Linked DNA regions of Bombyx mori. The protein of the gene in region 1 purifies or fractionates together with the protein of each later gene. This does not show direct contact. Links are inferred from orthologs where the notes say so. Each region holds a gene or a part of one and is shown on either strand. Other genes may lie near its edges. The genes, in order: N-sulphoglucosamine sulphohydrolase and formylglycine-generating enzyme.

Evidence for each region.
Region 2: the proteins of N-sulphoglucosamine sulphohydrolase (region 1) and formylglycine-generating enzyme purify together in Homo sapiens (co-immunoprecipitation; 3 studies listed by BioGRID and IntAct, with this or other methods). This does not show direct contact. The link is inferred for Bombyx mori from reciprocal best matches to the Homo sapiens genes SGSH and SUMF1.

What each region holds. Positions count from the first base shown.
Region 1 is NC_085123.1:826,302-830,239, reverse strand, and holds the start of N-sulphoglucosamine sulphohydrolase, read right to left. Parts: upstream 2,212-3,938; 5' UTR 2,166-2,211; coding exon 2,069-2,165; intron 788-2,068; coding exon 658-787; intron 299-657; coding exon 162-298; intron 1-161. Other genes in the region: phosphomannomutase 1, read left to right, coding at 2,331-3,083. UniProt on the Homo sapiens protein: Catalyzes a step in lysosomal heparan sulfate degradation.
Region 2 is NC_085128.1:6,668,560-6,672,497, reverse strand, and holds the start of formylglycine-generating enzyme, read right to left. Parts: upstream 2,349-3,938; 5' UTR 2,118-2,348; coding exon 1,595-2,117; intron 1,237-1,594; coding exon 1,065-1,236; intron 491-1,064; coding exon 331-490; intron 1-330.

The DNA.
Region 1 (3,938 bases):
TCCGGTGGTAGATTCTACGAAGCACTGCTCTTGCTAGGGTCAGTGTTAGCATAACTCCGGTTTGAGCCCCGTAAGCTGACCTACTAGTTAAGGTTACGCTGAAATATCCTCTCAGGGCTATCAGCTTAGGTAGGAAAAAAAACAAAAAGAAATATTCGCACCCGTCATAATTCCGTTCTGGCGCAGTAAGTTCGGCAGACTGGTCACGTTGTCGAAGGAGTTGAAGTGGTGGACGCCGTGGTGCAGCCCGTACATTCCATTCTGGTGACTCGGCGACCCAGTTAGGAGTGCTGCCCGACTGTTAATCCGTCGAGAAAAAAAAACTCCATTAAACAACTTTTGTTTGTTTTTTATATCCTGCAGAAAGTTTTTATAAATAAATAGCGGTGTTTATCCATGCAGGTTTACTGGTGGTAGAACCTCTTGTGAGTCCGCACGAGTAGGTACCACCACTCTGCCTATTTCAGCCGTGAAGCAGTAATGCGTTTCGGTTTGAAGGGTGTGTATATTGACTGTAATCACATTCTATTAGATCGGTCTGCTTCAGTCTGTGTATTGCTGTTACACGCTACATAAATTGCTGTATATTTATTTGTGCTTCTTGGACACCAAATATTAACACTTTAGAAGGAGCTTCGTTTCTCGCGTGTATCTTACCTTGGGGAGCAACTGCTCACTGATGTGAATGCATTGTTGAACAACAGGCCGTTTCGCGCTAATTCATCTATATTCGGCGTTTGACATATTTTGTTGCGATACGCGCCTATCTCAAAACCGCCATCGTCCGCTATAAATTAAACAGAAAAAACATTGAGCATAGAAAACATAGCTTGTCGTTGTCATCGATTTTATATTACTCATAGCTACTGCTACTAGTACTAATACATCATAAATTATTATAAACGGCACCCTTATTTTAGGAAGTCATCGTGGCTTAAAGGTTAAGATTGCCGGTGCATTCGTGTCGAGCGATACGACAGTACCGGTGTTCGAACCCCGCAGGCGGGTACCAATTTTTCTGATGAAATACGTAGGTATTCGACAAATGCTCACATATGACATCGACGGTAATGGAATAACATCATATAATAAGAATCAAACCCACAAAAACTATAATTTACGTTATTACTGATGGTAGGACGTCTTCCGAGCCTGCACGGGTGGGCACCACTACCCTGCATATTTATGCCACGAAACAGTCATGCGTTTCGTTTTGAAAGGTGAGAGAGCCGTTCTAACTCGATATGGCGGCGGCATTGATGCGATGTGTGGAGTTTGGTGACCACTTAACATCGGGTGGGCCATGAGTTCGTCCATCCCTCGAGGTTAAAACTCCACAAACAACCCTCCCAAAAAAGAGGTTAATACTTTTCGTAACTCTGGTGTCACCCTGGCTAATGTACTGTTGAGCTTCGGATCTCCCTCTGACAACATCATTAACCTCTAACTAAACATCTGTGGTTCAGAAGATAACTGAATTTTGCTTGTAGTCATTGTTTGAAATAAGTTGAACGAACATGATAAGGTCTATCTCGTTTTGACGCGTTTAACTGAATGAGCGACCTAGCGGTACTTCTGTTGTCAGGGCTGTCATCGAACAGTTGAAATAATTAGTAAATTAGTTTTTTGTAAGAATGTTTTTAACATTTTAAAGTGAACTAAATTATATGAATTATATATTATATGAACTATATAACCATGTTTCGGCTTGAAAAACCCATTGTAGGGCACCCTGTATAGTAATTGAGTGTATTATAAACACTACGCTGGTAACAATGGTATCGGAAGAAGACTTTGCCAAACTAAAAAAAATACAAGTTGCATTCACATCACATTAAAAACGTTTATAAGGAAGTATAATTTTAATGTGCATAGATTTAATTCAGATGCGTGAAACTTTTAATGAAAAATCCAAAGATTAATATTATGTGACTATGTGTATTATCTATGTTACAAACTACGTGGTTGAAGCTTTCAAATATTCGCTTGACCCAAAACCAATCAATAAATAACACGAACTCTGAACTAAAAAGCTTACGTTGGAATGTAAGATATTAAACTGACTCACCTAATAGTAAAAGAACATTGCGGACCTTATCAGATAATACAGTTTCAGTAATGAAAAAATAAAAGATAAGGGCAAGTTTGATGCCGGTAACTCGCATTATTAAAGTTTATCAGTTCTCTGTACTGAAGTTTGGTGTTTACTGTTACGGTTTGACGTGTCTGAGTGAAGTGTTGGCACTTGATGTTCTCTGGTGGTGTCCTACTTATCGACCGGTCCAAAATTGCCACCAAAATTCAAACTAGTTTCACCTTTTGAGACAATTATGACTAGTCAAAAGAAAGTTTTGTATTTGTTCGATGTTGACGGAACGTTGACAAAACCGCGCCAAAAAATTACAGAAGAATTCAGGAGGTTCATTCTTGACGAGGTAAAATCAAAAGTGGATGTAGGATTGGTCAGTGGTTCAGATTATATGAAGATTTCCGAACAAATGGGCGGAGAGGACGTCGTGTCCAATTTCAACTACGTATTCAGTGAAAATGGACTGGTGCATCATAAGAACGGAAAAAAATTAAGTTCAGAGAGCATAGTTAACCATTTGGGTGAACAAAAACTGCAAGAGGTAATAAACTTCGCCATGGGTTACATGTCCAACATCAAATTACCAGTCAAGAGAGGTAATTTCATTGAATTCCGATCAAGTATGCTTAATATTTGCCCTGTTGGAAGATCATGTAATCAAATAGAGCGAGATCAGTTTTCTGAGTATGATTCAAAACACAAAGTTAGGCACCAATTTGTTGAAGCACTTCAAAGCAAGTTCAAAGACTCGGGTTTAAAGTTTGCTCTAGGAGGTCAAATCAGTATTGATGTGTTCCCAATTGGATGGGACAAGACATACTGCTTAAATCACATAGCTAGTGAGAATTTTGCTGAAATTCACTTCTTTGGAGACAAAACAGACCCTGGTGGGAATGATCATGAAATTTACAATGACTCTAGGACTGTGGGACACAGAGTCTCATCTCCAAGTGACACTGAAATGCAAGTAAAAAAATGTCTTAATGTGGAATAGTGTTATTTTATATACAAATATAATATTATTTTAAATTTTATTTTGTATATAAGTTTCCTCCAGTTTATTTCTACTCAGGGACTTAGCAATTGGATCTAAAAGGAAAAGATAGGTAAAAGAAAATTAACTTATTTGTAGCAATCCAATATATACATTCTGCAAGAAGAAATTACAGATTAATCATCTTTATTGACACAAATGATTAATTTGCCCAGTGTGCATAAAATGAGTAAAGCTATGAAATGATTGAAATTTTAGGCAGATACCAATCAATGTCCATAATTAATGATGTACGATACACTTTGAACCCATGTAGTTAAGTGTCTTGTATATTTTAGCGATGATGACATTATTTGTTTCTATTTGACAACTATATCACAATACAAAAAGTCCACTGTTGTGTCTCGAGATGGGTGGCAACTAATAGCGTTCAAGGGTTATATTTACTGCTTGATACTAGGTTGTGCCATGAACTTTACCCATCTAAATGAAAGAAGTATATATAAATATATTTTGATGTTAACCTACTTCAGTGTAGTAAAATAAGGGACTATTCACCTATTAAATTGAAATTGTCTTGTTATTGACTTTTAGAAGATTAATTAAATAATAATATGCCCGTTATACATACTATTACGGCTGTGTTTGTTTTATCTGCTTTATTGTTTAATTTATATAAAAAACAAATATATCACTAGTTATAACAACAACAATCAAATATGTATAGATCTTAAATCTTTGATTGTAATTGTTTTAATGTATTTATTTGAACATTTTCGAGTGAAGAGGAAATAAGATAAAGATTTTTTCTATAAAATTTATTATTTGGAAAAATATATAGGTATTTTTATTGCA
Region 2 (3,938 bases), on another chromosome or scaffold:
AAAACATTATCTAAAAGAAATTTCCCAATATATATTACAGTTTCTTTGAGGTTCTTAAGAGAATATTGTGTATTTTACATTGCTTGCTACACATCAATACGCAGAATTCATGTGTACCAAGTTTTAAGAAATGATATGATTTTACATACCAAACATTCAAAACTCTTTTTACTTCTAAGGAAGTTTTCACAATTTTTCTAGCCCCAACATCAGAAAAAGTAACTTTGTATCTGCCTATTCAGTCACATGTTGCATATAATCAATTTCATAACTTTCAATAAAACCTTATATATTTGTTTTGACATTTGACTGTACTTATAATTCACTTACATCATCTTCAGTCCATGCATCTTCTGTCCATTCCCAAACATTTCCAGCCATGTTATGAAGACCAAAATCGTTTTGAGGAAATAATTCTACAGGGTTTGTACCAACAAAATTATCTTTGGCAGAGTTATGATGTGGAAAGGTTCCTTGCCAAATATTTGCCCTGAGGGGAAAAAAGTTTGTACAACAAAACGGAACAAAGAAGAGAAACATATTATTATAATATATTAGATACAAAGTTTGGTGGATTTGCTTTAAATCATCTTCTTATTCTTGCCCTTAGCTCACTTTATGTGGGGCCAGTTTTGATGAATTTGTTTTAAATGTAAAAACATATTTATTGTATAGATCGGTGGTGAGCTTACTGCCTTGCTGTTGCTCTTAAATGGTACACAAGGTGAGTCTTAATAGAATTGTTGCTGCTGCTGCACCAACTTCTACACAAAGCACTCGGCAAACAAACTGAGAGAATGGTACCCATGCAGGCTTAAAATATGCCCTACTAGTAATTTTTTGAGGCTCTAATAAAACTTTTAAGGTGAATAGTAACAGTCTTAGAAATTCTATTTTTTTTATTGCCATTGTATGTAGGTGGCCACTTCATGGTGTGTAGTCGCCATCACTTATGGATATCAGCAATGCCAGAGCACAGCAAAGCAGCTGCCTACAAAATACTGCCCTTTAACATAAAATTATTAATTATTATAATATATTATTATTTAATTAATTAACTCTACTTGTATTGTCGTTCTGGGAAAAGCTTATTTCCCCAAGGATACTTAATGTCTTGATGTCCACCTCTACATGCTGCTTCCCATTCTATTTCAGTAGGTAGTCTTGCCCTTCTCCACTTACAATAGGCTTTCGCATCATTCCAGGATACATGTATAACTGGGTGATCCATTACATCTAAACACAGAATATTGTTTAAAATGTATCACAATCATCATCATCATTGACGTTGTTAATAGTATCAACTTCATCATCATTGCATGTAAGTCTACTGTTACTGATAAGACTCCTAATACTTACAGTTGATGTCAGTCTAAATCATATTTTCACATGTTATCATGTGATTGGATAGATTTTGTAAGATCCCTCCCACACCAGATATAATATAGGGACTTATAATTTGCAAGGAATTGCATTAACATTGTATTAGGTTGCAATGTTATTATTCATGGTGGAGACAACAGAATACCTATTTATGAACTAGGTACAAGCAATAATTCCTCTTAACATGTATATTTTTACATTAATAAATTACCTGTTATACTAGAATCGGGTCCAAAAGGATGGTTCCAATTGGCACCAAACACTTTGTACCACCAAGTAGCTTGGGCAACTCGAAAATCTTTGATTTTTTCTTTAAAGGTATTATTCAGAAAAAGTGCAAACACAAAACTGTCTCCAAAAATATCTGCCTCAGTCTTATAATTTGTAACTCTAGTAAAGTGTTTAAAATCCTGATTTGATACTTCATACTTATCCAAAAAAAAACTTTTAACTTTGACAATTCGCTTTGGTCCTTCATTATCATTTTCAATTACAATGTCATCAGTTCCATATTGGTATTCCCCACCCGGCACTAATACCATCATTTCGTTAGACCGCTGTTCATCTTCAACTTTATCACTTATATTTTCAACAGAGCATTGTTCATTGTTATTGCCTGAATATAAATTATTTCGGTCTTTTTCTCCATTTCTATTCACACTGCAGCCACAATCACTTCCGACCAAAGGAAAGATAATTTGTGTAAGCCAAACAAGGCATATAGATAGATGCATATTTATTAATTCAATAACAACAAGACCTAATTTAAAACTTGGAGCCGTTTAAGTTAAAGGAGTTGCATTTCATTTGTGCAATACTGAAGAAAAACAGGTAAGATGAAAGTAATGGTCTACTTTTCAGTTATGTATAACTAGTGTGAAATGTCATGAATTGTTTTGTAAATATGCGAGAGTCGCTGACCGCCGTTCCTTGGAGTAGGCACGTACCATGACATGGGGTAAATTGGGATCCTGGGGTAAATTGGGACAAACCTGCGGAAGATTCTCAAAGTACCTGTAGCACGGAATCTACCTAATTTTGTTTATGTTAATATTTATCAATGTATAGAAGAAAAACCAAGTTAACTATGCAAGTACTAAATATGAGTTAAGTTGGTCCCAAAAATTCGTCAAATTAAATTGAAAATAGTGGTTGAAAAGTGCGTTTTAAAACAGCTTAAAGAACTTTAAAAAAAAGTAATATTATCGTTGTTTTTTCAATAAGATCACAGTTTATATAAGTTTTTAATACACCTGGAAATACCACAACAAACGGTAAGTTGCAATATTCTTATTTTAAATACAATATTTCGACAAAATAAAAAATGTATATTTTTTCCTTTCTTTTTGGGGAAAATTGGGACGTTTGTAGGGTAATTGGGAACGAGACTGGAAAAATTAGGGACGAGAAAACACAAAATTGGAACGCCAAAAGACAAAATAGGGATGGCTTGTTAGGGTTGTCACTGATATCTTATAATAGATTTTTTAGCCTATACTATCACTTAATTGCGTGATGTAAAGAAGGTTAATGTGTTTATCAATTAGTTTATGTAAGTATTATAGGTAAAATAAAAGTATATATATAATTACTTTTTTTTCGCGACATTTACCTTGTAAAATCTGCCCGGTCGTATGTTCTTTATAGCAATAAAAAAAATTAAAAGTTAAAAGAACTCAAACGAATCAAAACTTTTGTTATTTCAGAATCTATTCACGCGTCGAATCATGATTTTGTTAACATTCAAAACGCACACACAAATAAAAACAGGCCTCAGATTTTAAATGTAACATTAATTAAAAATCCGAGATATCCAATTATGAGTGAGTGAATTAATTGAGTTTAGTTATTTAGCTTAGAAAGAATTTCTTTTATTTTTGTTATTATTGGCAGTAATCAGATAAAGCTGTTTTTTAACTTATTCACCTGATATCTTACTCTTGCTCAAAGATTATTTTGAAAATGTTGATTAAATAAAATTGTATTATTGCATTTCCAGTCCTTTTGTTTTCTATTTTTTATTCTATTTTATCATTTTGTTTCAGAGTTGTGATTTTTAAGGAAATAATTAATAATTTTCTAAAATATAACATGCACATACTGTTTTTTGATCATTGTATTGTTGATTATCATTCACGTCACATCGCTTCGGAATAGAAACCAGCTTAATTTACACTATGTTGTGTATTGTGCTTAAATTATGGATTGTATTCATCATTTCGGTCCATATAAATAATTATATGGCACCTACCTATATATCGCAGTACTGCGAGTTGACAACCCTTACAAATATCCCAATTTAACCCTTAACCGTGTCAATTTACCCCGGACGCTGGGTAAATTGGGACGACCATTATTTTACCGATTATTTCTTTAAAATGAATAATTAAAATTATGTAACGGTTTTTATCACCTAGGTACGTTCAAGACTCAACTTATTTCTTTCGTTGAGCAGTGACTATTTAATTGGAACTATTTTAAAATTCAATCTGAAGGTCGATTTTGTCCCTATTTACCCCATTGTACGGTACTGTAAACAGTGTAAACATATCTTT